Linked DNA regions of Arabidopsis thaliana. The protein of the gene in region 3 interacts with the protein of the main gene of each other region in a pairwise test. Each region holds a gene or a part of one and is shown on either strand. Other genes may lie near its edges.

Region 1 (7,161 bases), on a different chromosome or scaffold from region 3:
ACGGGATTCTACCACGTCAGGTCCAACAACAAGACCATCTCCCTCTTCCAGAAATGGTACGACATGAGGCTCAAGTCGACGGGCATGAAGGAACAAGATGTCCTTAAGAGTCTCCTAGACTCTGGTTTCTTTAACCAGCTTGGCCTCAACGTTGGCTTCCTCAACACTACCGAATTCAGTGGCTTCTGCCAAGACAGCCATGACATGGGCGTTGTCACCACCGTCCATGCCAACTGTTGCCGCCACATCCTTGCTAAGATCTCTGATCTAACTCTTGTTCTTCGTGACTGGAAACGCTACAAAGCCTCCCATGTCAACAGCAATTGGAGCCCCCATGTTGAGTGCGGGCGTTCATGGAGTGACACTCACTATATCCCCAAGCTCTGACCTTCTTCGTTCATATATGCCAATTAATGAGATTGCTATAGTATACACAACTTCATCATCTATTAACTGCATATGTTCTTCAGATTAATCCTAGCTAGCTAGAGGAACAATTCTCTTTTGACAAGTAATTACAAAACATCATATATGTGTGTTACAACCAGATTGTTTTTCGCTCTTCGTTACAGCTACCCAAATAATTGCTGATAATTCTACTACCTAGCTAGCTACTTGATAAAAAGAACACATAGAAGACAGAGTTTCAAATCCAATGCACAAGTTGGTGGATAAAAACCAAATGAATGATCGAGACCTCGTGCACCAAAAGCAAGAAATATCATACCATTAGACCAAATGCTATGTTGCTGATGTAAAACTTAAATACTTGATTTCTCTTCTGTTTTGAGGAAATCAATTGATGTAGCATACAAAACTGTTTTCTGTACAGCCAAAGTGAGTCATCGGATGTGAAAGAAAGGTAATTTGTGGATCCACTTTTTTTGTTTTGAAACTTCAGGCACTTGATTTCTGAAAGTCTGGATGGGGATACAATAAAAAAACAACAATACTCTCATATATTACATGTGAAAATGTTTGATGCAATCCGGTGATGAATAGTTTAGTCAACCTTTGATGAACAGTATCATCAGGCGGTTATGAACATTGTCTTTGAGAATGACATTTTGTGTAATTGAAAAAACGAGAATGATATTTATGGCTTTAATTTTTTTCCTATTTTCTTCTTACATAATTTTCGAATTATCATTGGTATGTAAATCTAATTTTAAGTCTTTTGGGTATATAAATTAACTAAAACAACAATTTCATTTTATTTTGTTACAGGAAAAAGAATTGAAAAGCAGTGATTTTCTCATATATTAGGATTTGATCTGCAGTAGCCGCATGATAATAATTTTGTGCATATACATAAAGTCTTTGACATTTATTTTAAAATTGTGCATATTTTACATATTGAAGTTTGTATTTAAAAATACTTAGTTTTATAATCAAGAAATCAGTAATATCGCTGATAAATATGACTAATTGGATTAAATTTGATATAGTCTATATATTTGAAGTGTGTAATTTGTGAATATGAATTTTAAGTAACATCATAATAACTACTGCTCTATATAACATTGTGGAGGTTAAAATGTAAGAAAGGAAAATACAGATAGTATAATAACTAAACAAAAAGACTAAACATCAGAACAATTGGAGATATTTTATAGTTCTTTTTCAAAGTATTATAATATTTACATAATTATATAGATTATTAGAATTATTAATTAGTTGGACTATTATAGATATCGTTTTTTTTTTAATTATTGTGTGAAATTTGATCATTTTAAACTACCAACGATCCCAAAGATGATGCAAGAGAAGAGTCTTTGACCAAATGTAAGAGAAAAACGTGTTTTCGATGATTGATGGATATGGAGATCAGAATTAAGAAACCCTGATGAAGCACTCAAACTCTTCACTATAGGATGAAGGATTCCGTATAGAACCCAATTACATATGTAACCTTTCTTGGAGCTCTCTCGGCTTACAACTACATATGATTAGTGGGTACCTAAAGCATGGATTGATAAAGTAAATATTTATAAGATTCTCTAATCTCTATAGCAAATATAATAATATGTTGGCGTGATGATAATCGTGAGACTAAAGTAGGAAACAAAAACCCTAGAACAAAAGATGATTCATGTGTGACGTATTCGAGAAGGAACCTTAAAAACGTTTGTGATATTCACATTAAACTGGTGTTATACATCCAAATCCGGTAATATAAATATAGTGTTGAATTGTTGTGTGAATCAAAAGAGAGAAAATAGGGCACATGAAATAGTTGTGAGTATATCCTAATAATCCGAACAAAAACCAAAAACATATGACTTCCTACAATAACTCCTCCGGCAGTCTCGCCCTGGCCGTTGCTCTTCTATTTGCCGGCGCCTTATATATCTACTTCTCATCACGTTCAGCTTCTGATCCCATCTCCGGTCTCCTACAAAATGTCAACACTGTAAGTTGATTCATATAATATATATGGAATTCTAGAGTACAAATAAAGGAAGATTTGAAATATATTTTGAAATGGTACGTGACAGAGATTGATACAGTATCCGGTGGACGAGCTAGAGACGGTGCTGGACAAGGCGTCGACAGGGAACAACAAGACGGTGATAATAGCAATGGTGAACAAAGCTTACGTGGAGGAGGATGGAGGAGGGAGGACGATGCTGGATCTGTTTTTGGAGAGTTTTTGGGAAGGAGAGGGGACACGCCCGCTTCTTAACCATCTGATGGTGGTTGCAGCGGATCAGACGGCCTACGATCGCTGCCTCTTCAGGAGGCTCCATTGCTACAAGATGGATACGGAAGGGGTTGACTTGGAGGGAGAGAAAGTATACATGTCAAAAGATTTCATAGAGATGATGTGGAGGAGGACTCGCTTGCTCCTAGACGTCCTCAGCCGCGGCTACCATATTATTTTCACGGTTAGGTCCGTCCCTTGATTTTGTAACATATATAACAAAACACTTAATTTGTTGCTCAAACAAGTAGTGTATATACAATGTTAGGATACGGACGTGATGTGGCTAAGGAGTCCCTTGTCCCGGCTAAACGTGAGCTTGGATATGCATATAAGCGTGGACAGAAATAACGTGAGAGGACAATTGATCAACACGGGATTCTACCATGCCCGGTCCAACAACAAGACCATCTCCCTCTTCCAGAAATGGTACGACATGAGGCTCAAGTCTTTGGGCATGAAGGAACAAGACGTCCTCAAGAATCTCCTAGACTCTGGCTTCTTTAACCAGCTTGGTCTCAACGTTGGCTTCCTCAGTACGGCCGAATTCAGCGGTTTCTGCCAAGACAGCCCTGACATGGGGGCTGTCACAACCGTCCACGCCAACTGTTGCGTCCACATCCCTGCTAAGATCTCTGATCTCAGTCTTGCTCTTCGTGACTGGAAACGCTACAAAGCCTCCCGTGTCAACAGCAGGTGGAGCCCCCATGTTGAGTGCAGGCGTTCATGGAAGGACGTTCATTATGTCCCCAAGCTCTGACTTTCTTCGTTCATATAAGCAAATTAATGAGATTGCTATATAGTATACACAATTACATCATTTATAAGTGCATATCTTCTTTTGATTAATCCTCTAGCTAGCTAGATGAGCAATTCTCTTTTAACAAGTAATTACAAAACATCTTATATGTGTGTTACAAGCTATATTCTCGTTTTTTATTTTTTCTTTTAATAATATAGAGATTAATTTACTATGTTAGACAAATATGTTTTTGTTACAATGATTGTAGAAAAAACTACTTGGCTAATCTAATTCCGAAAGAGAGGAGGGCAAAATGGAAAGAAATTGAGAATGATCTCAATTAAGGTAGAAGAGACATTTATATCATTTCTTACCTAATGGCATATCATGTAAGTAACTAAAAGTTTTGTTAATTTTGATATGTAGTAAATATATATGTACGTTTATTGGATTCATATTAATTCCCTTAGGTAAACAGAATGTTACGTGAACGATTGAAAATCTCACAGAGTAAAAACACAAAAACCCTAATTACATGACGATTCTTATGTGATATATTCGTGAAGGAAGGAACCTTAAAAACGTTAGTGGATTTTCTATATACATTATTCACATATATCCATCGTTTATATAAATAAATAAATAGGTTAATTGTTTAGTACAAAATCACGAGAGAGAGAAATAAAAAAGGCGTGAGTCTCCTAACTAGCTCCTAATAATGCGATAAACCAAAAACATGCCACTTTGCAATAATTTCTCCGGCAATCTCGTCGTCGCCGTTGCTCTCTTCTTTGCCGGCGCCCTATATATCTTCAACTACCAAAACTATGTCAACACTCTGGTAAGTAAATTCATAATATATTGAAATTAGTGTAGAGTAAATATATATATAGGAAGAATTCAAATATATGAAGTGGTAACAGAGAACAACACAGTATCCGGTAGATGAGCTAGAGGCGGCCTTGTATACGGCAGCCGCCGGAAACAACAAGACGGTGATAATAACGATGGTGAACAAAGCGTACGTGAAGGAGGTTGGAAGAGGGAGTACGATGCTTGATCTGTTTTTGGAGAGTTTTTGGGAAGGAGAAGGGACTCTACCACTTTTGGACCATCTAATGGTGGTGGCAGTGGATCAAACGGCCTATGATCGCTGCCGTTTCAAGAGGCTTCACTGCTACAAGATGGAGACTGAAGATGGGGTTGACTTAGAGGGAGAGAAAGTATTCATGTCAAAAGATTTCATTGAGATGATGTGGAGAAGGACTCGCTTGATCCTAGACGTTCTTCGTCGTGGCTACAATGTTATTTTCACGGTTAGTTCCCTCAGATTTTGGAACATATAACAATATAAAACATTTTAGATTGTTGCTCAATTAGTATATTATATGTACAATGTCATCAGGACACGGACGTGATGTGGCTAAGGAGTCCATTGTCTCGGTTAAACATGAGCTTGGATATGCAAATAAGCGTGGACAGAATTAACGTGGGAGGACAGTTGATCAACACGGGATTCTACCACGTCCGGTCTAACAACAAGACCATCTCACTCTTCCAAAAATGGTACGACATGAGGCTAAACTCGACGGGGATGAAGGAACAAGACGTTCTCAAGAATCTCCTAGACTCCGGCTTCTTCAACCAGTTAGGTCTCAACGTTGGCTTCCTTAGTACCACCGAATTCAGCGGTTTTTGCCAAGACAGTCCTCACATGGGCGTTGTCACTACCGTCCATGCTAACTGCTGCCTCCACATCCCTGCCAAAGTCTTTGATCTCACTCGTGTTCTTCGTGATTGGAAACGCTACAAAGCGTCACATGTCAACAGCAAATGGAGCCCTCATCTTAAGTGTTCGCGTTCATGGAATGACACTCACTATATCCCTAGGCTCTGACCCTCTTCGTTTACAATACGCAAAATTAATGTGATTGCTAAACTACCATTAAGGGTAACACATGACATATGCCTCAACCTTAAAACATAACTATATCAACTATATCAAACGCTGTCGTTTTATCAAATACATCAAACGCTGTCGTTTTATCAAATACATCAAACGCTGTCGTTTGACCGACTTCTCTCTCTCTCGTTCTTTGCATTTTGGAAAGTTCGAAACAGAGCCTCTGTAAATTACGCGTAAAGTTTCAATCTTTATTCACACAATTCACACAGCTAATGTAAGCATGAGAATCTTCAGATTCACGTCAATCTCACCGCGGATTTTGCCGTCGAATCATTACTCAACATTCCCGTTGAAACAAAACGTGTCTTCTCTCTCACCGGCGAAATACATTGCGGGAGCTTTACAAGAACATATCAATTCTCCGGCCCCAAAAGCTGGTAAGAAGATACACGCAGATATCATCAAAACTGGGTTTCAACCAGATTTGAATATATCCATCAAACTACTCATTCTTCATTTAAAATGCGGTTGCTTGAGTTATGCACGCCAAGTGTTCGACGAATTACCCAAGCCAACATTATCGGCTTACAACTACATGATTAGTGGGTACTTGAAGCATGGATTGGTAAAGGAATTACTTCTTCTAGTTCAACGGATGTCATACTCTGGGGAAAAGGCAGATGGGTACACGCTTTCCATGGTTCTAAAGGCTTCTAATAGTCGTGGCTCGACTATGATACTGCCGCGTAGCTTATGTAGGTTGGTCCATGCCCGGATTATAAAATGTGATGTTGAGCTAGATGATGTGTTGATTACTGCACTTGTTGATACTTATGTGAAGAGTGGGAAGTTGGAGTCTGCAAGGACTGTGTTTGAAACAATGAAAGATGAGAATGTTGTGTGTTGTACATCAATGATCTCAGGTTACATGAATCAAGGTTTTGTAGAGGATGCGGAAGAGATTTTCAATACTACCAAAGTGAAGGATATTGTAGTTTACAATGCTATGGTGGAAGGTTTCAGCAGATCAGGTGAAACTGCTAAGAGATCAGTTGACATGTATATTTCGATGCAACGAGCTGGTTTCCATCCGAATATTTCAACTTTCGCTAGCGTGATTGGAGCGTGTTCGGTTTTGACGTCCCATGAAGTTGGTCAGCAAGTGCACGCTCAGATTATGAAGAGTGGAGTTTACACGCATATCAAAATGGGGAGCTCTTTGTTAGACATGTATGCCAAATGCGGAGGGATCAATGATGCAAGAAGAGTCTTTGACCAAATGCAAGAGAAAAACGTATTTTCGTGGACTTCGATGATTGATGGATATGGAAAGAATGGAAACCCTGAGGAAGCACTCGAACTCTTCACTAGGATGAAGGAATTCCGTATAGAACCCAATTATGTAACCTTTCTTGGTGCTCTCTCTGCTTGTTCACATTCTGGTTTAGTCGATAAAGGTTATGAGATCTTTGAGAGCATGCAGAGAGATTATTCCATGAAACCAAAGATGGAACACTATGCTTGCATAGTTGATCTCATGGGACGAGCTGGAGATTTGAATAAAGCTTTCGAATTTGCTAGGGCGATGCCGGAAAGGCCTGACTCAGATATTTGGGCAGCTCTTCTCAGTTCTTGTAATTTGCATGGTAATGTTGAACTCGCAAGCATAGCTGCGAGTGAGCTTTTCAAACTGAATGCTGATAAAAGACCTGGAGCTTATTTAGCTTTATCCAATGTCTACGCTTCTAATGATAAATGGGACAATGTGAGCAAGATCCGAGAAGTGATGAAAAGAAGAAGGATATCTAA
Region 2 (9,283 bases), on a different chromosome or scaffold from region 3:
CTACATGTGATTTGCTTCTTCAGTCTTCATGTTACAAAAGACACAAGAAGATGGAGGAGGCTAAGTATGAGGACTGGAAATCTACAGTCGTTAATTCGATTAAGAAGAATCCAGAGAAAGGTACTCAAACTTTTGTAAATTGATTTGATCACCAAAAGAAATGATTCATTTGTATGTTTTCTCTGTTGCTGATGTTTCTGGATCTTGTGTTTTCTTTTCAGGAACTAAGAGAGTTATACAGGCCAGTCTCAATTTCCCAAAGAAATCTGAGACCAAAGAGTTGCAAGTTGATTCATAACATTACACACATTCAGAGACTCAGATCCTGTTATTGTTGTTTTCATCACATTTAATGTGTAAATGACAATTCTTGATAAGAATTTTTTTTTTCCCCAAACCATTTTCTATAGATTTTTATGCAAATAATGGACACATAAATGTCTACTAGATAAACTATGATCAATTGAATAAACTACATGGTATTTCGTATACCTAGTGGTAAGCAATTAAGCATCGGTTACGTTCGGTTTATTGGTCTTCGACACATCTCTTCTCCACACTAGTGGTAAGCATAAACATACTCGTCGATTTAAACAATCTGAGTTTGTAAGAGAAGAAGAAACAGAGTTGGCTAGTGCAAAAACTATTAAGTTGAGAATTCAATGGTACACCACAAAGTTCCAAGCTTTTGGATTGGGAAACAAAAATAAACTATAACATCAATAAATAGATACTTCAAAAAGTGTTTAAAGACAAGATTTGCAGCTCTCTCACATTCCCTAAGGACGAAAGCTCTATCATTTGATCAAAATGTCAGGTCACACCGGAAATAAAGTAACTTCAGTGAGTCGAGGTGGAGTTGGTGACCCAATACTGCTTCACGGCAATCAAAACCTTCTCAGGAACTAAAGGACCATCCTCATGATCGACAAGCTTCGCATCCCATCTCATTCCAGCGATGATTCTCTTCACCTTGATCAATGTATCCACATCATCCCGGATTATAACCGCTCCTTCTGGTCGGAGAATTCTATCCATCTCTAGAAGAATATCATCCGCATTGCACCTAAAGAGTTTCGGATTCATACATTAGCAATCTCAAAATACCTCTAAAAAACTGTTGTTATGAATCATTACACAAAACAGTTATACATACTTGTTCTTGTATAGACTGAAGAGGTGGTTCGCGTGGATCAGGTCATATGTTCTTGGATATGTAGAGAAAGCCTCACACCTGAAACCATTTCAGTAGACAGAGAGTCTCTCAAACCAGAGACAATGAGTTATTGAGAAGTTGTGAGAAGAGGGAATAATCTTTTACTTACCAGTCATGGTAGATACCGATGAGTCCTCGTTCATATACAACTCCGAGTCTGTTCTTTTCGGCAATTGTGGGAACAACATTCATAACCCAAAGCTTTTGGGATTCAAGAGCAGCAGCAAATCCACCAAACCCTGCGTTCATGTCCATGATGTTACGGTACCTTCCAGTGTCAAGTAGACTGTTGATTCTCTTGTAGGCTTTCACATGTTTTTTCCACTGTCTGTTATCGTCTTCATAGGCATCAACAGTAACACCAGAGATCGAACCGCTAGAGATCCTGGGCGGCACTGCATTGAGCCTATCTGGGAAAGCCTGAAGCTCACCACCAGCTACTTCATCTGAGCTACTTGTCTCCGGATACGGTGTAATACATGCCTCCATTTTCTTGTACCTAGAGAAGATTCATTATTAGAGCCATACGGTGATGTTTCTAGCAAGGAAAAAAGAATGAGGAATATAAGAAATGAAACTTACCAGACATCATCGGTATCATCGGTTTTGCAGAAATTGGCTCTAGGATCATCTTGTCTTGATCGGCATGCCTCATCATTGACTCTCTTCTGCCAAATTGCAATCTCACCGTGTTCATACTTTTTCTCCCAACAAAGAAGTTTAGCAGCTTCCTCAATCTTTCTTTGTTCCTCTTGAAGGTCCTCCTTGGGACGTTGCCATGCCTTGTAGTTGACTTTCCAGTTGATTGGAGGACCAGACAGAATCCAGTACCCACCAGGTCTAAGCACACGGTCAACTTCCATCAAGTACATCCCATCTGTTATAAAAGAAAAACAGCATTGTAAGTAACTGATATGTCTTTAGACAAAGTGAAAGTCAAATTGATATAAGATCAGAAAAGGTTTTAACCATTTGCTCCCCATGGAATCAAACACCGAGAGCAATGAGCCATGTCGAAAGCACGTGTTGGGTATGGCAACTTTATGGTACCAAGAACACCAATAACAGCGGGAACACCTCTCTCGAGAGCAAACTGGACCTGAGCCTCGTGTGAATCTCTTGGTGCAAAAGACATTGCACGCACATTTCTGCTCCATAAGTACGCTCCCCAACTTGCAACCTAACAAAACGTCTCAATTTAGTTCCACCATGTAAGTATTGTAGTTTCAATAAGAAAGTCAAGAAAGTATAAAACATTACCCCACAACCAGTGTCCAAAGCAGTCCTAACAGTTCCGTTCTCCATAGGTATCACGGAAGCAAGCTGATCGATATACTTATCAGCACCTTGAGGGAACTGAGTTCCACCACCAGGGAATCTAAAAACGTCTCCCTCATACTGAATCCAATTCTGAATAGCCTTCTCAACAGTCAATGCTTTATACGGCGCATTAGCATAAGGCACATAGTCTCGACTCTTAGGCCAAGAGAAAGGTGTCACATATCCTTTAGGAGCCGGTATAAGACAATGGAGCTTCTCATTCTCAGGAGCGCAATGCCTTTCTCGGTAAATCATACTATCTCTCGGGAAAGTCATGGCACGTCTCTGATCTTGACAAGGAGTGTAATCCGTGTAACGACCATCACAGGGCTCGAAAGCCTTGACCTTTGCAGCTTCAGAAGCACCAACAAGACTTGATTCGCCAGCGTGATGAGTCTCGAAATTCAAGCTAGGAACAATGTTGCAATCAGCTCCACTGTTGGTCATCTCAAGAGCAATACTGTCTCCTTTACCAAAACCACTTCGTTGCCATGCTCCCAAAATGTAAAAGAAGCAACATAAACTAAACACAATGAAGATCTGAACAGAGCTTCTGGTTTTACCATCAGCAGAACTAGACTTCAACGCCATTATTGATCTAACAAAACACAGATCAGCTCCAAATCAGATCAAGAGGCAAAAAAAAGAGAGTGAAGCTTTAGATTTGAATAAGTAGATAGAGACATAACAACAACAACAACAACAGTTCAAAAACAAGACAAATATACTAAAGAGACAAAAGAGAATCTCAAATCTGTTATATTATTAAAACTAGAACAGAGACATTCATAAAAATAAAAACTTTGTCTTGAAAGAGAAGCAATAAATCAAATCTTCCGTAAGAATAACGAAAGAGATCTAATAAAACAAGCTACAACAAAACACTAGTCTTTAACTACTACAACGTCATTAGTTATTAACAGATTGAGAAACAAAACAGATTTTTAAAAGTAAGCCCGATCTGACAAAACAGAGATAGATTGGTCGGAAAGAAGGAACATACAGAGATAATGAAGGAATCTGGGAGATCTAGTGGTACAATTGGTTGATGAGAGAAGTAATAATACCCAAACTCCGAGAGATTGTTGTCGGTGGGAAAAATGATGATGACGGAGAAAGGAAGGAAGGAATAGAGGATACGTGTAAGATGATTTGTGGGGGAACCCTAGTTTATGCGTGAATCGTCGTCACCATCTAGCCATGGGATGTGAAAAAGAGAGAGATAAAGCTGGCGATTTTTTGTTATTGAAGGAGAAATCTCTCTAATTTGCCCTTTTTAAAACAGAGCCATTGAGATTGAGAGAGAGAGAAGAGGAGATGAAACTTTGTAGATTCAATCGACGTCTGATATTTTCGTATTTTTATTTTTTTCTTTAACCTAAAATCGGCGGAAAAATTATAAAATTAATAAAAGCTAAGAAAAATTTGATAAAATAAATAAAAAATAAAAAGGAAAAAAATAAAGAAAATGAAAAGCTGATAGCTTGAAAAAAAAAATACAAAAAAGTGATTTCTTACTGTAATTCAGTACAATTATATTGTTTCACACTCTAACCAGAAAAAATATATTGTTTCACACTGTTTATAACCAGAAACCAGAATGAATAAGTTTATGCATAATTGGGAAAAAAAAATAGAGAATTGAGAGAGTTTATTAGAAGTTAAGTTTCGCGTGGAGGCTTTACAAAATTAAAGTTTTTGATACAAAAAAATAAATTTGATTAAACTATAAATTGGTACTTCCAGTAGGGAAGAACATACCTCTGAACATGGGGACCCATCAATTGTAGAAAAGCATATGTTGCAAAAACCGCGTAGTAATTAATCCTACGGACTACGGCCCCTGATGATTACTAGTTGGATCCAACGGCTGTAAATGTATCTTAAGATTGGTCTTGCTCTGTGGAATTAATAATTTGGGTTTTTTTTTTTTCTTTGTCATCCGAAAATTAATTAGGACTCAAACGAGTCAATCCTGAAGAATGTTGTTTACAAATGTAATATGAAGCGGTTGGGTACGAACTTTTCGTGCCAAAAAATCTGCTTTAACATTAGTACTACGAGAGATTAAAGATAGAGAAAAGTTTGTGAACTCATCCTTATCGCTCTGTAACTCCTCCAAATACGATGAGAAAGCTGGTCATTCGGTTGGGGAAGACACCATCTCCACCAGATCTGAACAGTCTGTAAGAAAAACTACATCTTGGTTGTCGGCACCAATCATACACTTCATCGCCCAGAGGAAAGCTTCCAGCTCGGCATGTAAAGGAGATAAACTTCTTCTGAGATTGGCAGCTCCCAAAGTTGATGTCTCTCCAGTTGATGATGTACAGTACCATCCTAAGCCTGAAAACTTGTCGGTATCTTTCCAAGATCCATCTACAAAACAACGATATCCAGAATAATTGTTGTCTAAAGAAAAATGCCGCACTCGATTACGATCTTCCAAATTGAAAGAACCAAAATTTTCGTTGTGAAGCTCAAGTTGAGCGGACTTCCACAAGTCTGACTCTTTTTCCGCCAAATGTAAGATCTCTAGAGGATCTTTATCCACATTATCAAAGATTTTTTTATTCCCTGCTTTCCAAATATACCAAATTATCTATGGAAATGAAGATGAATCAAATTCTAAAGGTATGCGCCAAAATAAATGATCCAAATTTGCATATATAGATGCATAAGGAAATTTTTCTGGGACCGTAGGTATCTGTGAAAGTGCCCAAATCTGACGAGCAGGATGGCATAAGAAAAGCGTGTGGTTAATGGTTTCTTCTAGAGCACCACATCTGCTACATCCTATCTCACAGTTTATTCCGCGTTTTCGTAGATTGTCCGTTATTGGTACACATCCCGCTAAAATTTGCCACAAGAAGTGATATAACTTGGGCGGACACTGTACTTTCCATGAGAATGCTTTTAAGACTTTGATGTCTGGGTCAAAAAAAAAAAAAGTTAGCATCCAAAGTTTTTAACCTCCTTAGTATGATGTCTGGGTTCTTTATTTCTTTTTTAGTTTCCTTAGTATGATTTAATGTTAATTAATGAATAATATGTTTTTTAGGATGAGCAGTAATTTTTTTTAGTTGATTTTCTAGAAAAAGCACACAAAATAAAAGAAAAAAATTAAAATTGATCATAAATGTATTAGTTTTTGTGATTTCTGTTTTTCTATTATTCTAAACCAGTGATATTCAATTATTTATTTTAAAATTTAAAATTTATTCATAATAACTAATAAATAGTGCATAAAAAACTAAAAATTAATCTTTTTGAAACAATTTTGTTTTTTTTAAAAGATCAAGTAATAAAGAACATCTTAGAGACACGTAGCAATGAAATTTAAATTTACAAAATAAAATAAAAATTTTTGAGGTAATTCCGATATTTGTATTTCTCATATGTGTATTCAAAATCAACTTTGAACAATTTTGTAATTTTGATCATCCTTTTTTTTTTAATCATTTTTGTATCAAAATATGTTAGTATATCTCGTATTTAGAACTTCTATGACATGATTCAACGTTTGTTTATATGAAGTTAAATAAATTAATGGTCATTAATAAGTTTTTCTGAAACTGATGTATTTAGGCTTGATTAATGATTAGTTTCTAGTTTCTATGAACTCATGTGAACTAATGCACACCCATCGATCTAACTAGTCAATTGAGGGACTTATGGATCTTCTATGAACTGATGTTTTTAGCTATGTTTTTATGAACGGACGTATTTATGCTTCTTTTTATTTCTCAAACAATTAATGGGATACGTGGATCTCAATTAGACATTTATGTTTTCGTTTCTCGTATTCAATGTTCAATTATGTTTGACTCCCAATAGTAAATAAATAGTCTTCAAGTTGGTTAGACCCACCATATCTTCTTGCTGAGTACACCACCGACTGCAAAGTATTGTGGATTTTATGGTTGAGTGTCCCAAATTTTCATAAGACCCCATTAATTTAAAACCAAAACTATATATAGGCCACTCATACCTCACTCCCTTGTAAGAAACATACTTATCAATCAATAACTCATTTTAAAAAATATGGATTTATGTTTATTAATTAGTATCATGAGCGATTTAAGTTCAAATTTAGACCCAATTCATAAGATGGAGGAAAGGGTCAGAATTCCATATAAAAAAAAACACAACGTAAATGAATATTGTGAGATTGATATCGGGGAGCTGAATAATTATGTTCAATCGAAATCTGATTTGGGTCATCAAGTGACATGACATGTTATTATCATGTTTTGGTTTTCTAGTCAATATACATTCGTACAAAAAGTTGTTTAGTCTAAGCTTACAATGTCTGATGAATTTGTTTTTATTACTCCTTCTATTTCATATTATATCGGAAAGTTAAAGAATCGTCGACATCTATTCATATACTTTTAAACCTTTTGAGTTTCACCAAAACTCACTTCATATTTGCCAAGGTTATCAAGATATGTTATAAGCTCTCTTGTTTTTGGATAGCCTATTGGTTAGGAAATATTCATCACACCCATCGTGTTTTACTTTTACCAATGGATGGCTAATGATTATGAGCAATAATAATAGAAGCACTCTATTCTGTTTTTTGTTAAAAAAAAAGTTTTGTACTAGATTTTCAAATGTCAGACTCTAAGCGAAAACTAATTTCCATAATTAGTTGGCCGACCTACATTTACAAATTATTAGCAAAGATAATTTTTTTTTTTAAAAGTACAATAATAACATATTTCTTTTGTCGGCCAAGTAGTAACTCTTTGAAGACTGTAAGTGTAAACAATGAAGTTGTCGTTTAGAAAGCACTAAAGCAGCTTTGAGAAATTACCAAAAATAAAAACGATGTCAAGTCGTCAATAATATTTATTGATTGGCCCATATTGCTGATTAACCAAGTCAAGGCCCAATATAGGTCTTGAAAACTCACACACCTTCTAGGTCCAAGATATTAAACACGTACGATATGACTATCATGAAAAAAAATTACGCATCCACATTGGTTTTCTTAGTAAGTGAATGTCTAAAACGATGGATAAATGAATATTAATTGATACTTTTCTTGTAACTCAATATCTTAAGACTTTAATCTAAATCTAGCACTCATTTGTTCAATAATGTTCAAGCTTATAGTCTGGTAGAAATAGAATTACGATAAGTATTGTTTAAACAATAAGTAATTAGTGCACCAGTAAACTAATTAGTGAACCAGTAAATTAGACAAATATGGTTTAAACAATAAGTAACAAGGGAAAAGAGTTTGGTCAAAGATAAAAAATTCGAAGGTGAGGGACATGATTAACTGTGGTGAGGAGGGTTAATTATCTTCACGAAGACAGAGGTATGGATGCTTGGGCTTGAAGACTTTGAAGCTTTGACTAATGGTATTTTTCACATTTACTTATTATGTACTGTGAAGAAATAAACAACAATATGCATAGTCATATAGAAAGAAAAAGAGGCTCAAATATCAAGTGCACACGCTTGGGAAGTAAAAACCAAAAAGAGTCAAAACTAGAAGAGAGACAAAATGGGTATAAACCGAGGAAACTTGGCTTTTTGGAATTTCATTGGGTTTGACGTATCCCCTAGCTATGCCTTTAGACTTTTGCCTATAGTGCGATCTGGTTTTGAAGTCGGTACCAAAAATTAAACTCAGGTGACGCTGGACCATCAAACTACATTCTATTTTTCCAGTTTTCCACATGTTAATTTTTTTTTAAAGTATTTTTACGTCAATTGACTTGTTGATGCCCGATAAAAAACCTATTATGAATAAATAAAATAGCATATGATAGTTTCGACTTTCGACCTATTATTCAAAATTTTGAGAATGTGACGCTGCGTATATTTTAAAATTAGACTACAGTATATAAGATTTCATAAAAATGAAGTATTGAAATTATATGCATTTCACATAAAAAATTTTTTTTTTGCTATTTAAACCGCACAACGATGAAAGTTTACGTTTAAAAATTACATGTTAATTAAACACTAGTTCACATATAAATTTTTAATCGCTATCTAAACTGTTAGGAAGTTTAGTTTTGAAACGTGAACGTTAAACAACAGATTATGATACACTTTTCAAAAGGCCTTTAACGTTCCAAAATGATTGTGATGCTGCTGAATAAAGGATGATGTCTCATGTACTAAGAATTTCGATGTAGATGGAACGATGCAACAACATTAGTTATCCAGTACAGATTCACTAGAAAACACTTAAAAAGTGACTTGAATTTACTACTTTTAAGTCTTAATTAAACGAGTTAACATATACAGCACTTAACTAAATATCGAGTAAGTTTTTATTCTATCTATGATTGCAAATAAAAAAACGAATGTATTTTTCATAAACTTCACATCATACGGACACACATAAAATGAAGTATATATATATACGATTTCAAAATATTGAAAAAGAACAATATATCCTTCATCAAACTCATTCTCTTTATTGCACTATCTATTTTCTTAACAATACATTCACTAAGAAACCCATATATAAAGATTGTTTTTTGGATTTTGTAATATCGAAATGTATAAGTCCGATCCATGTCATTCTACTTAGGTAATCAACATCAATTTCAAATAATTCTATTTGCCTTGTCAACTAGCATGACTTTCGAAAACCGATAAATTTACAATTTGACGCTGTAGTAAATAATTAGTTGATCAAATTGACGGTACTTGTACATACACAAAAATGATTAAAGAAAAGATTTTGGATAGATATTTAAAACTTCAACTAGATTTTAC
Region 3 (8,221 bases):
CAGGAAAATAAAGAACAGTACAGAGCGGAGGAGGTTAGGATTCTTCTCATGCGCCACCGGAAACCCAATAGACGACTGTTGGAGATGTGATCGGAATTGGCATCTCCGACGAAAGCGTCTCGCGAATTGCGCGATCGGATTCGGTCGTAACGCTATCGGAGGACGAGATGGTCGTTACTACGTAGTCACAGATCCATCTGACCACGACGCGGTTAATCCACGACCAGGAACACTCCGTCACGCTGTGATACAAGACCGTCCGTTATGGATCGTCTTCAAGCGAGACATGGTGATTACTCTAACTCAAGAGCTAATCATGAACAGCTTCAAAACAATCGATGGAAGAGGCGTGAACGTTGCAATCGCAGGCGGTGCTTGTATTACGATTCAGTATGTGACGAATATTATCATCCATGGGATTAATGTACATGATTGTAGAAGAACTGGTAATGCTATGGTTCGAAGCTCGCCGTCGCATTATGGGTGGAGGACTATGGCGGATGGTGATGCTATATCGATATTTGGATCGAGTCATATTTGGATTGATCATAACTCTTTGTCTAATTGTGCTGATGGTTTGATTGATGCTATTATGGGATCTACTGCTATTACTATCTCCAATAACTACATGACTCACCACAACGAGGTTAGCTTTCTTTGCTGATTCAGTGGAACTGATGATGAATTTGCTGCAGAATCACGTTTTTGGAGTGGATTTTGGTTGATTTAGTAGCTAAATTAGTTAGTATAGTGAACTGAATTGTGTAGGGTGTGTTAAAGAGTTGAGAAGAAGTTTCTTGATGGATAATGCAGGTTATGTTGATGGGGCATAGTGATTCGTACACTAGAGACAAGTTGATGCAAGTGACAATAGCATATAACCATTTTGGGGAAGGGCTTATACAGAGAATGCCGAGGTTCGTCATGCATTTCATGTTTTCTTTTCGATGATTGTTTGCTACAAGAATCAGGAGGGCTGATTCTTTTGTTGTTATTTCAGGTGTAGACATGGTTATTTCCATGTTGTAAACAATGATTATACTCATTGGGTAATGTATGCAATTGGTGGAAGTGCTAACCCTACTATCAATAGTCAAGGCAATCGTTTCCTTGCCCCGGGCAACCCTTTCGCCAAAGAGGTATACCTTAATTTCTCTCTTTCGGAGTAGGAGATATTGAGAAAGGATGAATCTCAATATTGTAATGGTTTTGGCAGGTGACAAAGAGGGTAGGTTCATGGCAAGGGGAATGGAAGCAATGGAACTGGAGATCTCAAGGAGACCTAATGCTCAACGGTGCCTACTTCACTAAATCTGGAGCTGCTGCTCCTGCAAGCTATGCCAGAGCCTCTAGCTTGGGAGCTAAACCAGCTTCTGTAGTAAGTATGCTTACCTACAGCTCCGGTGCCCTTAAATGCAGGATCGGTATGCGGTGTTAGTTAATTGTATAATCCTCAAACCCAAGACCGAAGAGGATACTGACTAGCTGAGGGAGACAAAGGAAGAAAACTAACTTGTTTTCTTCGTCCCCGTCATTTACATTTTCATCGTCTCCTTTCTTTTCTCTTTTACCATTTTAGACTCTTCTCTGCCTCCACTCGTCAACCTAGGCCAGCTTTGATGAGCCGCAGTGTTGTTCGACTCAACTCCAAAATTGTAGTACAGTGCATTCTTCTTCTGCCTCATTACTCATTTGGTGTATCATCATGTATCATATATTCTTCTATCAATATTAATACTTTGAACTGCTTCTGTTACACTTACACCATTTCTCATCAACAAATATAGATAAAATCAAATCAGAATGGTTTCTTGCCAAGGAAACAAATATAGCCAACTAAAGTGAGGAATTACAGAAGAAAAAAAAAGCTTGTAGAAGAACACAATTAGACTCAAAATGGAGTTTCGGCGTCGCTCCTGGTTTCGGTTGGGCTGTACAATGCGGATCTATTCCTCGGTCTGTTCTCTTCCAACTGCTTCACAACCTCTTCCATGCTGGGTCTAACTGTTGTAACAGGAGCACAACATCCCATCGCTAGCTTCAATGCATGAACCAAACCTTCTTCCATTGGGCTCCTAATCCCTTTCATTGCCTCCAAGTCGAAAACCTCCATTGTCGTCTCTTCCAACACCGCAGCTTTAACCAAAGAAGGCAAGTCCACAAACTCATTACCGTTCCTTCCACTCTTTCCTGGTTTCTTACCCATCAATATCTCCAAGAGAAGGATCCCAAAGGCGTAAACATCACTCCTTGGATTGCATTTCTTCATCTTGTGGAGTTCAGGTGCTTTGTACCCGTCGGATTTCGCCTGCGAGACAATCTCATCTGCTACTGCCTGTACCATTATCTTGTCAAGCCCAAACTCAGTTAGCCTTGCAAAGAAAAAGTCGTCCACAAGCACGTTCTTTGATCTAATATTTCCATGGATGATAGGAACTTCTTGTCCAGTATGAAGATAAGCAAGTCCCCTCGCTATTCCAAGTGCAATCTTGTGTCTCCTAGCCCAATTCAAAGCTGGCTTTCGAGGTTTACTTTCTGCACATCATTCAAACAACACATGAATAACAAAAATCAACCAAGAAAGATCCATGGCAAAAAAGATTGATGATGAAAGAAAATACCATGCAACAAATCATGTAAGCTTATGTTGGGAAGATAGTCATAGATGAGAAGCTTTTCTCCTCTCTTCCCTTGATAGAAAGCTCTCAAGGGAACCAAATTCTCATGCCGAATGCGTCCTAACTGCCTTATAACAGGCAGACAAGAACTTCTATCCTTGCAAGTACCTTCTCTCAATAGCCTCAATGCAATATTCCCTCCATCACTAAGCTTAGCTTTATAGACAGTACCATAGCTAGTCTTCTCCATAACTTGCCCAGTAGCATTCAAAACATCATCCAACGTCAGATTCTCACCACCTTGAAACACAACTAACTTTCCTTCACCGCCTTCTTTCTCACCGATTTCATCTTCTTCATCACCTTCTTCCAAATCATCTTCACTCTCTATACTACTCTTTCTTTTCTTGTTCTGCAAATACCCTATTAACAACGAGGCCACAACAACAGCTCCAGACATTAAACCAATCACCAGACCAGCAACAGCACCTGGACTTAACCTAGAGGAGCCTAGACAAGGCTTCAAAGGCAAACCACAAAGGCTAGGACTGTTCCCTTCGAAAGATTCTGCTCCAAACTTTGACTCACCAAAATCTGGCAACATCCCACTGAAGTTATTATGAGAAAGATTGAGACTTTCTAGCTCTAATACACCTAAACCCTCAGGAACAAGACCTTCAAAGACATTACTTGAAAGATCAAGTGACTTCACACCTTTAAACCTAGTTATAAACTCAGGAAACTCACCTGAGAACTTATTACCACCCAAATCAAGAACTTGGAGATTACCACAAGTCGAATTTGGCAAAGCAGGCTCAGGCAAAACCCCAGACAAGTTATTACCATGAATCTTGAAAGAGACAAGCTTATCACAGAGGTTCCAAATCGATGGAGGCAAAACCCCAGCTAAGGCATTACCACTCAAATCAACATCAGAGAGAGAAGAAGTGTAACCAAGCTCAAGAGGGATTGACCCACTTAATGAATTGATGTTGAGGAACACACTTTGAAGCATAGAGAACTCACCAATCTCTCTAGGGAGTGAACCAGTGAGATTAGCAGAAGGAAGCTGAAGAGAGAGAAGGTGAAGAGAAGAGTCGTTGAACAGAGAGGTATTAGTCCATTGTGGTGAAGAGAGGTCACTACATTGAAGAGGAGACCCATTTGAAAATACCCATTTTACACCTCTCCATTGACAAACAGGAACAGAGGAGTTCCAAGAAGACAACAGTAAGCTCTCACTGTTTCCTTGTAGTGAAGACTTGATTTTTCCTAAAAGAAGCTTCACATCAGAAGAACCAGAGAGAGATGTTCCACAATGACAGTGAAGAATTAGCACAAAGAAGAAGATAACATGAAGAAATCTCAAAGCTTCCATGCCCATTTCTCACAAAGAGACAGAGAAAGAGAAAGAGAGGTTAGAGAAGGGAAAGGTAAGGACTTTGAGTTTCAAGACTGGTCCTTTGTAGCAGAAAGAGAGTGTTGACTACTTTGTAAACACTTTAGTCAAACATCTCAACGGCTATGATTTAAACTCAAACCGTATTGATTATTAACCGTCCGATATAACCAAAAGTTGGAATCTTTATAATCAGAAAGTGTAAACCGGATTGATTGCTTACCGTCCGATCAAGTGTGGCTTAAAGCGATGGACAAGAATGGTATAAATCTACTGATTACTCCTGAATTTATAAAGTTACTTTTCTTTATAACTTTAATTGATTAAACTATAAGCACGCTCAAAGTTCGAATTAAGACTTTTTCTTCTGCCAAAATAATAAAATGATGTTTTTTTATCAAGGTAAATGTTTTTGTGTAATTTGGTTCATGGGATGTTTCATGCTCCTTGAATCTTGACCGTAGATGAGTCATTGGAGACATGAGATGAGTGAATCAACGGTGGATGATGGAGAAGGTGGAGAAATCTTAGATAGTTTTGGTTTCTCTAGAAGACAATTTGTTGGAAGTACACAGAAAATGAAGAGCCAATATTTTGAAAAATGGGAAATGTGAATATCTAAGTGAGATGAAGTTATGTTGTCTATGTCCTTTTGTGTATTGTCTATTTCGAAATTTCAGGGGTGTCAATCGAGTAGACCGGTCAGGTGTCCGAAACATATTTTGGATTTGGATTTTGACATCAAACAAGATTGAGTAATTTGTTTTATTGTTGGATCAAACACGCTCAATTTTTTTTGCGTAGTATTTTTTGGCATAGAAAAATAGAAGGCTTGAATGGTAGTAGTTTATACTTTATAGCATAGTTATTGGTTTTCCAAAAACCCATTTAATTATCCAATCAAGATTAGAGTTCGCATTTTTGTAAACAAAATGAAAAATAAATCCCACTTTAATGAGTTTTTGATAATTGTTTGCAGATTTCTTTTTGTAATTTTAAATCAATATTTTTTCCTTTTGGCAAAATCTATAATCCAAAACCACTTAAAAACTCAAATATTCATGGCCAAAAGTTGTTTTCTTAAACCTAAGCATATATAGATAGGAAAACAATTTCTAATATACTGTATTTTACAATGGACTAGTAAAAGTTTATGAATGATGTGAAAACAATTAGATATACTGAGTCACAGCAGACTAAAAAAAAATTTTTTTGTTGAAATAGATATCAAGTTTGGCTTTTAGTAATATAGAAGTGTCTGAATTTGGTTAAAAAATAATCATAGATAAAGAAATTTATAAAAGGCATCTGATGGTTACTTTGATTCTAATTGACACTTTTGTTCCAAACATTTGTTACAAGTCGGGAAAATTATTTATTGTTGTATACCTCTAAGGTGGCTACACCATTTCGAAATTCAATCCTTTTGGAAAATGAAAAAAATATCTATACATTTTTTTTTTTTGAACAACAAAAAATATCTATACATGTCGATCATATATTCATATGTAGAAAAAGGCATATATTGATGATAATAAGACCACATAATTAGAGCAATATATGTTCTCCAGATATAAATCTCATGCAACTTTATAGAAGAAGAAGTTAGAAACATGAGGAGTCCTTGATTAGATTACTGAGACAACTATGTATGTCACGTCTTTATCAACATCTGAAACTATTCAACTACCACGCTGCTCCTTTTGTAATCAACTTCACTTTCATAAGATCAGATTATTTCATCAACTCCACTTTCTTTTTTGTTTCTCATAGTCTCATTATAAGTCTTTTGTTTTCAAGTTGTCAACCGTCTCACGGCTTTCTAGTAGGGCCTGAATGGAGAAAGGTGTGGTGTGGATATTTGGCACGGGTCAGATCATTGTTTTTTTGAATATCTCAATTCCTTAGGTGCGGTCCAGTTTTTGGGTTTAACCAAAAATAAGAAAGAATAATGATGTATCACAAACAACACACTTATATGAGGAAAATTATAATCCTACCTCACTTGTTTTTTTCCTCCAAAGATTTTCGTTACTCAATAATACAAAGGGTTCAAGCTAACTAGATAAACAAGAAAATGATAGAATCAAAGTGGTAAGGAACAACTCTTCTTAAAATGTCCATATGTAAACATTCTATTTACAAATATTTACAATGTGAATATGTGAATGATATGGATAATTTTGTACATATGTCCATATGTACATTAATTATCATTTTGTACATTAATTATCATTAATTATCATTTTTACTATCATTAAATTGTCCATATGTCCATATTTACAAATAATTTTGTACATTGATAATGATAATTAATGTACAAAATTAATTATCTCAATTCCTTCTTAAATTGTCCATATGTCCATATTTACAAATAATTTTGTACATTAATTATCATTTTTATTATCATTATCAATGTTTGTGTAAAAATATTGTATCATTCAACTCTTCTTAAAACATTCACATTATAAACGATATGTAAGCTCGACTCAAGAAATGAGCCACATATGTAATATTAACCAATTACAACAACAAAAGAACTATATAATCATCTCTCCAGAAATATAACACAAACACCATTTCCAGAATTAATCATCTCTACAATATCCTGAAGGTAAAAAGAGTAAAGAGTTATAAAAGAACCGACTCGACAAGAAAAAGCAAAAAATGGAGTAAAAACCCGGACCCCGACCAAACAGCTTTAATCATGACCCTCCATTTGTCTTCAAGATCCCATGCATGCACGAGAAGTGGCACACTCGGGTACGCTGCCATTTTTTCCTTTTGCCCTCTTTCTTATTTGGTACATAATAATATTTATATTGTTTCTTTTTGTCTCTGTTTTTCATTTAACAGTTTGAGAAGTTGGTGAAGCGACCACCACATTCGCCGACGGAGAGTTATTGTTTATGTTCCTTTGCGACTTGTTTTGTCTCTTCGTAGCTGCTGACGACGGTGGGGCCTCCGGCTTTTGTCCGCTCGGTTGTCTTACTTTAACCCCTCGTATCAACTGTCATAATATTATTCTCAATTAATTATGACAAGATAAATACCAACAAAAGTAATGATGAGAGTTAAATACTAATGAAAAGTATAGAAAAATATTGTGATGCTTCTCTTACATATTTGCCACATTTGACGTCGGAGTATATGACTATGAAATCACCTTCTTGGAGCCCATTGGTTTTCACAAAATCGCCTGTAAACGTAATTTCAAGGAAAATTAGATATGTATGCGTCCACAACAATAATTACAAGAGAACAAACAAACCAAAAGAAAGGAAAATTATTAACGGGTACATTTTCAAAAACGTACCGGTGTTCTCGAGGAGATACATCCTGCTTTTGTTGTTAGGCCAAAACCTGCAAAACCAATTTAAGAAGACAATTAAATAACCGAAAAAACATTTTGGTCGAGTTCCAATTTTTGACAAAATACACGAATTGTTTTTATAAAAAGAATCAATGTTAACATGTTAGCATCATAATCAGTTACCTGTAGCGCATGTTCCAAACACGAGAGGTTCCGATGTCTTCCATGGCCAGAGAGATGCCGTCTCTTGCCTCTAGCTCCGGCAAGTGTGTCTCAGCTTCTTTCTAAAAAAAATAAAAATTCAGTAAAATATAACTTAACCAATAAGAGTAAAAATAAAATAAAAACTTGACAATATTTTTACACAAACATTGAACCTTTTTTAGAAAATGGAAAGCAAAGGCTACAAGAAATTAGAAGAAAAATTACTTTTGGCAAAACGATCCTTCCGAGGTTACCCACGTCGCTTTGCTTCAAGACTTTCTGCAAGAGAAACCGCAAATTCTTTTCTGGTTTCCATCCCTAAAATCAAACCAAAAAGATCAAAATCATTTCATTTCCATTGCAAATGTATAATCTTCCGATTCACATTTTATCAAAAAAAACACATGTAAAATCTTTAGCTTCTTCATCAAACCAAACGAGTGGTGCAATTACACAAACTATTCGAGTATTGCTAAATTAAAGAATAAACAATGAGAAAGATGATTGTGCATGTCTACCTGCCGGCGATCTGGTACCACCTGCTGACGTGGCATAGCAGAAGCTGAGCCAGCTCGGTCCATGGTAGGTAACTGAGTCTCCATCACTGGCGGTAATTGAGGCGGCACTGCCGGGACATTAGGCCAATACATCCAGGTCCCTCCCGTGGCGGTTGTGGCCACGGGGTTA
Region 4 (7,701 bases), 1.6 Mb from region 3:
TTTCTCATTGGTGAGTCTTCAGACAACTTCTGGTTAACTTAAACCATGTCGTTTCATCGCTAATGAAATTATTTGTAATCAAATAAATGTCAAGAAGTTTAATTTTTAAAGCGGGCTACGATTTAAACACTATATATATAACAATGGAATGTAAAAAAGAAAACAAAGCTTGTTAATTGAATAGAAATAAAATAAACGTTTTCCCAAATCTCATCTCAAAGCTTGTGGCTTCTCTTTTTAAGTTTTTATCTAGAAGTTCTAAGATATATACATAACCCAATTCAATTTTACCCTCAAGTTTCAGTTGAAATCCAAATGATTTGCAGTTCCAAGAAAAATTATTAGTATCTACTATTTTTTTCAACTCTATATTTTCTTCTATTTTTAGTTGACTCTATTTTAGAGGAAATATACTTGACTTTGCTCCATTGTATGACTCTAAAATAGAGGTAAAGTGTAGAGATTGCTATTTTTTGCTCTATATATAGAGTTATTTCTACATTTTTCTTCTATTTATAGTTAACTCTATTTTAGAGTCATACAATGGAGAAAAATCAACTATATTTCCTGTAAAATAGAATCAACTCTAAAATAGAGGAAAATATAGAGTTAGACATTGGAAATGTTTTCTTGGAAATGTTTTAAGAAAACATTTCATGTCGATATCGTAAAATACTGGTGTGAGAAAAAAAAAAAAAAAAAAAACTCAAGCATGAGATCGATTCTTGTTGGATTAGCAATATTTAATTTGCTAACAAAAATAACATTGTAATTCATGATCTGGATTCACAAACTGCATCATATCTTCATACGTTGGATATTGCTCTATACATTATAGATGGGTCATGGGAGTGCGTGCAAATGGCATAATGGTGGTAATTAGAAGAAAAAAAATCCAAATTTAATGAGTAGGAAAAGAAAATTGTAACAAAAAAAAAAAAAATCATAGTTCTAAAATAGAATTTTAGTTATATAGTTAAACAAAATCACGTATGAATGTTTCTATTTCTCTACTGTATTGTTTAATTTTTTGGAAAAATACACTTAAATTTATATGATTATTATTATTAATAGGTTCAGTCACAAATGTATAAAGCACACGAAAAGAAAAAGAACTTTCGTTCTTATAGAAGTCTTAATCTCCAGCGCACGACATAAGATATTCATTTTCATATCTTAATAATCGATTGTCGGTTTGATATAGTTGAATTTCAATGGTTAACCAATTATTTATATTGAAATAAATTTATAGCCTTTATAGTAATTAATAAGAAAATTATATAAATTGAGCTGAATTGCCTCTATTATACTGTATAAAATTGCATACTATGTGTAATACTATTGAAAGCAACTCGTAACAGATGTACCGTAAGATTCTTTTCATTAAGTTGCTTCTAAATAAGAACCCGCTAGAATTGGTAATGTTAGGAAGTTTTGTAATTAGGTTAACATAATTCCAAAGTGTGAGATATATATACGCATTACAAAAGAATAATGACATTTCCAGCCCACAGCCGCACATACAGCTGTCTTCAAACATAACACAATATTTTTGTTTCTTATTTGTGGATTTAATTTTAATGAACAATTATAAGAAAATGTAACCTTTTTAGAAAGAAAAAAAAAATCAATTTTTAAGAAAGTAGGTTTGCATGATTAAACATAAAATCAAAAAAAAAAAACAGGTGAAAGTATAGTGGCTGCTTTCTGTAAAACCAAAAAACGAATAATTATATTCCAAATTTAAAATTTTGATTGTCTTTCTCATATCAAGTGTTCAAATTAATGAAATGATGAATATTATAAAGTTCTCGCTAATTGTGTTGATTAGTTCTGGTTAAAGTAAACTTTTAGTGCGTTGTTATTTTCTATTGTCCACAAAATTATCATAATTGTAAATTATTTTATTTATATTCTTCATTTGTATCGTTTAGAAAAGGAAGAAAAATATAGATATATAAATTCCATTCATATTATTAGAAGCCGAGAACATTTGTTCATGTGGAATTCGTATATGCTATAAATAGTAATAGTAGTTCAGAAAATTTGCTAATCCAAAGAGATCAATTTTTAAAAAGTGAATATTCCAACTGTCTCATAACATAAAATACTGGGTCCTGACGTCCTGTATAAATTTGCAAGAGTTAGATTTGTTTGGAATGATGCTACAATTTGTATACCATTGTCATCACAAGAGAAAATTAATAAACTCTACTTAGGGAAACAAACAAATTCTAGTCATAGAAATGGGTGAAAACCTGCAAATAAAATCCATTCAAACGAGGAATACTCACATGCTTATAGAGTAAACACAAACACTTTCTATAATTTCTTTAATTAGAAGTAGCATTGTATCCAATGAATGTGAGCTGACCATTTAAATATATCATTATCTTTTGGGCGTTAGTCAATAGTGAATAGGTTATATATAATTGTATATCGTAATATGTAGAGATGCACATGGAACCATGTGTTCATTGGACCATTATCAACCCATATTCTAAAATTGCTGGATTCCTACAACCTAACATACTTTTTCTTTTATATGTAACATTTATGTCGATGCGTGAAATGTCTACATTTACATGCGTATTCATTTAATTAAATTATTAGTTAATCTTTCATACTTAATATTTAATAAAACTTTATGTCAATATTGACTATGATGAGTTAGTTAAACCTAACATTTATTTCTGTAAACAAAAATAGGTTATACTTATATATCGTTTATTTAGTATCTTCATCTCCAAAAATTGACCAACTCGAAATTCTCAAAAAACATTTAAAAATTAAAAACTTTCCCTTGCCCCCTAAATTTAACGAGTTAATATGTATAGATCATTTGCTCTCGAAACTATAAAAACTCAAATTTTACATAAATAATCACGCCTCTAAACCGTAATTATTTATTTATGACCCCATTAATGTCAAGATCGGTCCTAGATATATGAAAAAACGAATGATTAAATCTTCTTTTTTTCCGAATAAATCTTGTGAATAGATATGCCATTAAGAGTTTTAATATAACGGTCAATATTATTAACTACATGTTGTACTTGTACATATGTAACTGGTCATAAATGTATCCTTAATCTTTACAACCATATACAATGAACAATATTCACCAATACACTTTTTTTGCAGTGTCTCAAATTCAATGTTTGTTATACATTGACTGTGAGATAATAAAAAAAAAGTAATTTTATGGGTTTCTAGAAATAAAATAAAATATCTAAGAAAAAACAATGATAGTGACAATAAAAGAAAACGAGTTTTAAAAGAGCGTAAATTGACTCTCTTCTTTACAAAACCGCGTTTCCTTTTTTGTCTTGGTCTTCTTCGTCGACCTTTCTCTTTTTCTTTCTCTTGTCCATAAATTCCAGAAACTTTTTTTCTAGACACTTTAGAAACACCAAACCTTAAAAAGAGCTCTGCTTTGAGATCTTAGCCATTAAGTTCTCTTGATGATGTCTGGTTCAAGATTAGCCTCTAGACTAATAATAATCTTCTCAATAATCTCCACATCTTTCTTCACCGTTGAATCGATTCGACTATTCCCTGATTCATTCGACGATGCATCTTCAGATTTAATGGAAGCTCCAGCATATCAAAACGGTCTTGATTGCTCTGTTTTAGCCAAAAACAGACTCTTGTTAGCTTGTGATCCATCAGCTGTTCATATAGCTATGACTCTAGATCCAGCTTACTTGCGTGGCACGGTATCTGCAGTACATTCCATCCTCAAACACACTTCTTGCCCTGAAAACATCTTCTTCCACTTCATTGCTTCGGGTACAAGTCAGGGTTCCCTCGCCAAGACCCTATCCTCTGTTTTTCCTTCTTTGAGTTTCAAAGTCTATACCTTTGAAGAAACCACGGTCAAGAATCTAATCTCTTCTTCTATAAGACAAGCTCTTGATAGTCCTTTGAATTACGCAAGAAGCTACTTATCCGAGATTCTTTCTTCGTGTGTTAGTCGAGTGATTTATCTCGATTCGGATGTGATTGTGGTCGATGATATTCAGAAACTATGGAAGATTTCTTTATCCGGGTCAAGAACAATCGGTGCACCAGAGTATTGCCACGCAAATTTCACCAAATACTTCACAGATAGTTTCTGGTCCGATCAAAAACTCTCGAGTGTCTTCGATTCCAAGACTCCTTGTTATTTCAACACAGGAGTGATGGTTATCGATTTAGAGCGATGGAGAGAAGGAGATTACACGAGAAAGATCGAAAACTGGATGAAGATTCAGAAAGAAGATAAGAGAATCTACGAATTGGGTTCTTTACCACCGTTTCTTCTAGTGTTTGGTGGTGATATTGAAGCTATTGATCATCAATGGAACCAACACGGTCTCGGTGGAGACAACATTGTGAGTAGTTGTAGATCTTTGCATCCTGGTCCGGTTAGTTTGATACATTGGAGTGGTAAAGGGAAGCCATGGGTTAGGCTTGATGATGGTAAGCCTTGTCCAATTGATTATCTTTGGGCTCCTTATGATCTTCACAAGTCACAGAGGCAGTATCTTCAATACAATCAAGAGTTAGAAATTCTTTGATTTATTCATTTTTTGGGGTTTTGGTATGGTAAATTTTGTGAACTCATTACATGGATTCTATGTTTTTTGTTATTCCTTTTTTAATGTACATACAACATAAATACATCGAGGATTTTGTTCAAGATATTGATTATTGATCTTCATTCGGCTTAAGTATTCTTTGCCTCATGAATCATGAGTTGTGTGAATAAAAATAAGCTTATATTATATGTGTTCTATTCCAAATCACATACCTATATTTAAGAAAATAGCAAACAGATTTTTATTTATCTAAATACATTTTCATATATATGCTATCAACCTAGTTAACTCTAAATAAGTATAATTGGATCATGTATTTTGTTTTGTTTCATTAAAAATATGTTTACCAAAATACAAAACTAGTTAGTAAGAGGAGAGATCTGCGGATACTTGAGGGGTTTTTTCATTAAAAATGCCAAGTAGAAACTATAATATGATTTTGCAACGATATTTGGAGCTTTTTGTGGTTAATAGAACTTTTTTTCTTGGAAAATTTGTATCAATAACCAACAAAAATTTAATAATTTACTAACTAACCAAAATAAAAAAATGGATGATATTCAGTATATTTTCTACAATATTTGCTATTATACCTGTTTCTTACCACCACAATCATCTCCGTCATCACCGTCGCCGCCGTCATCACTACCACTACCACCGTCGCCGCCGTCATCATCACCGCCGATGCCGCCGTCATCATCACCGCCGATGCCGCCGTCATCACCACCACCACCGCCGGTGGAGCTACAACCCTTACCGGAACGAGTGCCATCACCGGAGTCACCACCCCATCGTCGGGGTTCCCATTGTCACCGGAGCCTCCATCGTCACTAGAGCCACTATCGTCGCCGGAGCTACCATCGTCACCAGAGCAACCGCTGTCGCCGGAACCACCTCCGTCGCCGTAGCCACCACCGTCGCCGGAGCCACTCTATTGCCGGAAGGAGTGAGTTGTAATTAAATACCCCATATGTGTTAGTCATTGAATTATGCATATTATAGTGTTAAGTTATTTAATAACTTTAACAAATATAGTTATTCACTTAATTTACCCTTTTTTTCTTTCTCTAGCGAAGCTAAAGAATTGGGGCTTTTATTGACTTTTTCTCTTAAATAGTTAACTGTGTAATGTGGGAATTACATTTTGAGCAAATAAAAAAGAGTGTATCGTTCCCAATATACACAAAAACCGATTTTGTTATGCAGTATGGATTTGTAGCCATTGGAAAGAATTGCTCAGTTTCTTTTGGATTTGTAATATGGGTAAGAATGTTTTATATTTAAGCAAAATGAGAGAAAAAATTGTTTTATATGTTGTGGTGTTATAGTGTTTCCATTTGATAATAAAACAATAGTGTTGTTAACTTATAATTGTTTTTGTTGGAAAAACTTTTCTCTTTTAACTATAAAAAAGCACTTTAAATCTAGAAAGGGCTTAAATAGGGCTCAACCCTATTTTAAACTTTTTTAGGCTTAAAAAGGGTTAGGGTTTACTTAGGATTGGACTTTAAATAAATAGGGCCGGGTTGGGCCGGAAAACCCTATTTAACATCCCTACAAAATCGAGTGAAACCCTAATCGAGCACGCACAAAAAAAAAAAACCTAATCCAATTCATGGAGAGACAAAAAAAGAAGGATATGGATTTTCTCACAGAGGATCTATGGGAGATTATACTTGCGAGATTACCACTAAAGAGCATCATCACCACTCCAAAACTGGTTTGCAAGGTATGGAAATCAATCATTGAGTCTCGGTGTTTCCGCGACCTTTTCCAATCTCTACACCAAAACTCTCATCATTCTTCATGGTCACTCATGTGTAGAGGTTGTGAGACAGAGATCATGTCTCACTATGGATCTGACAATTGGAATCTTAACCATTCTCTCGGTTATTACATCTCTTCCTTCCTTACCGACAAATTCGAGAACTATAATGAAGCTAGAGTCGTGTCTTACACGGATGTTGGATTGATATTGGTTCATCGAGTGTCAAGTCAGTCTTTCTACGTAGCTAATCCTGTTTCTAGGCAATGCGTAGAGATTCTTCCTTCACAGAAACTGGATTGTTTCTGGATTTTGGGAATAGCTACAAGAGTTGAGAATGGCGTCGTTTTAGGTTACAAAGTTGTTCTGTTGAAACCTAACTTCACTTTCCTCATATATTCATCTGAGACAGGCTTGTGGAGTCTCAACAGTGACACTTTTCCTTTCAGCTATATATCTCAAGAGTTTAACAATCCCATTAGCTTGAACGGAAGTCTTTACTGGCTCGCCCACGGTTCCGAGTATCAAGATTTCATTGTATCCATCGATTTCTATGTTGTTGATAGCCGCTCTGATCGATGCCGCGCTACGCCATTTCCTGATTTAGATAAAGTTCCGAAATTCAGAAGAACTTGCACAACTTCTCAAGGATGTCTCATGTATATGAACATATTCTCTATACCAAAAGTTGATGGTAATTTAGAGGACAAGTTATGTGTATGGAGGCTAGAGAGCTGGCAATGGCGACTAGTATTCGAAATATCTTTGGATTCTATTAAGACTGGTTTCGATTATATTCCGTTGGGAACAGACCCTTTTGATGCTAAAACAGTCTACCTTTGGAGTCGCAAATGCTTGTTATCTATTAACTTACACAATGGAGACATTGTGCTCCACAAGGATGTGGAACATAGCAGCGCGGGTCGCATTCTGAATTCCGTTGATTGCCCGAGAGATATGACATACATCTTAGAATCAAACTTTGCCTCGTTCGTTCTCCCACAGTGGATGCATCCGTTCCCTAGCACGGTGAGGAGTGTTTAAATCTAATATTTGTAAGACTTTCTTTGTTCCTTATCTGTAGGAAGAAGTTGTAGGATGATGCATAGTTTTCTTTTGAGTGCTTTCCTTACCGCGTTTTGCAATATAAGTTCGTTTTTATTCTGCAAAGAAAAGCTAGACAGATGTATATAGAAAACATGTCTATAAATTTGCAATAAAAGTTTTTAAAATCGTAATAATCTTTGAATATTCACGGTTACAAGTTTTCTAATTCTCGCAATTGGGAAATGAATTCTCAAATATACTCCCGCGCTGAACAACATAACAGAATAAAATTTTTCTTAGCAAAAA

Evidence for each region.
Region 1: the proteins of TMKL1 (region 3) and AT1G28695 interact in a protein complementation assay, tested with the Arabidopsis thaliana proteins (one large-scale study listed by BioGRID).
Region 2: the proteins of TMKL1 (region 3) and AT1G26850 interact in a protein complementation assay, tested with the Arabidopsis thaliana proteins (one large-scale study listed by BioGRID).
Region 4: the proteins of TMKL1 (region 3) and GATL10 interact in a protein complementation assay, tested with the Arabidopsis thaliana proteins (one large-scale study listed by BioGRID).

The regions. Positions count from the first base shown.
Region 1 is NC_003070.9:10,080,076-10,087,236, reverse strand, and holds AT1G28695 (Nucleotide-diphospho-sugar transferase family protein), read left to right. Parts: upstream 1-4,114; 5' UTR 4,115-4,182; coding exon 4,183-4,287; intron 4,288-4,369; coding exon 4,370-4,762; intron 4,763-4,851; coding exon 4,852-5,343; 3' UTR 5,344-5,366; downstream 5,367-7,161. Other genes in the region: AT1G28710 (Nucleotide-diphospho-sugar transferase family protein), read left to right, coding at 1-387; AT1G28700 (Nucleotide-diphospho-sugar transferase family protein), read left to right, coding at 2,279-2,413, 2,499-2,888, 2,973-3,464; AT1G28690 (Tetratricopeptide repeat (TPR)-like superfamily protein), read left to right, coding at 5,633-7,161.
Region 2 is NC_003070.9:9,300,306-9,309,588, forward strand, and holds AT1G26850 (S-adenosyl-L-methionine-dependent methyltransferases superfamily protein), read right to left. Parts: upstream 4,024-9,283; 5' UTR 3,604-4,023; exon of another isoform or gene 3,540-3,603; intron 3,135-3,539; 5' UTR 3,128-3,134; coding exon 2,477-3,127; intron 2,397-2,476; coding exon 2,186-2,396; intron 2,094-2,185; coding exon 1,799-2,093; intron 1,716-1,798; coding exon 1,326-1,715; intron 1,235-1,325; coding exon 1,157-1,234; intron 1,067-1,156; coding exon 841-1,066; 3' UTR 501-840; downstream 1-500. Other genes in the region: ORC6 (origin recognition complex protein 6), read left to right, coding at 24-120, 222-298.
Region 3 is NC_003074.8:8,999,422-9,007,642, reverse strand, and holds TMKL1 (transmembrane kinase-like 1), read right to left. Parts: upstream 4,075-8,221; 5' UTR 4,003-4,074; coding exon 2,622-4,002; intron 2,536-2,621; coding exon 1,892-2,535; 3' UTR 1,700-1,891; downstream 1-1,699. Other genes in the region: AT3G24670 (Pectin lyase-like superfamily protein), read left to right, coding at 4-646, 814-917, 1,001-1,139, 1,217-1,438; ABI3 (AP2/B3-like transcriptional factor family protein), read right to left, coding at 6,863-7,027, 7,140-7,216, 7,334-7,380, 7,514-7,614, 7,760-7,852, 8,053-8,221. UniProt on the Arabidopsis thaliana protein: Does not seem to have conserved a kinase activity.
Region 4 is NC_003074.8:10,586,257-10,593,957, reverse strand, and holds GATL10 (galacturonosyltransferase-like 10), read left to right. Parts: upstream 1-3,272; 5' UTR 3,273-3,464; coding exon 3,465-4,562; 3' UTR 4,563-4,942; coding exon of another isoform or gene 4,943-4,963; 3' UTR 4,964-5,011; downstream 5,012-7,701. Other genes in the region: ABCB15 (ABC transporter family protein), read left to right, coding at 1-37; AT3G28335 (uncharacterized protein), read right to left, coding at 4,943-4,963, 5,188-5,514, 5,774-5,806; AT3G28330 (F-box family protein-like protein), read left to right, coding at 6,199-7,392. UniProt on the Arabidopsis thaliana protein: May be involved in pectin and/or xylans biosynthesis in cell walls.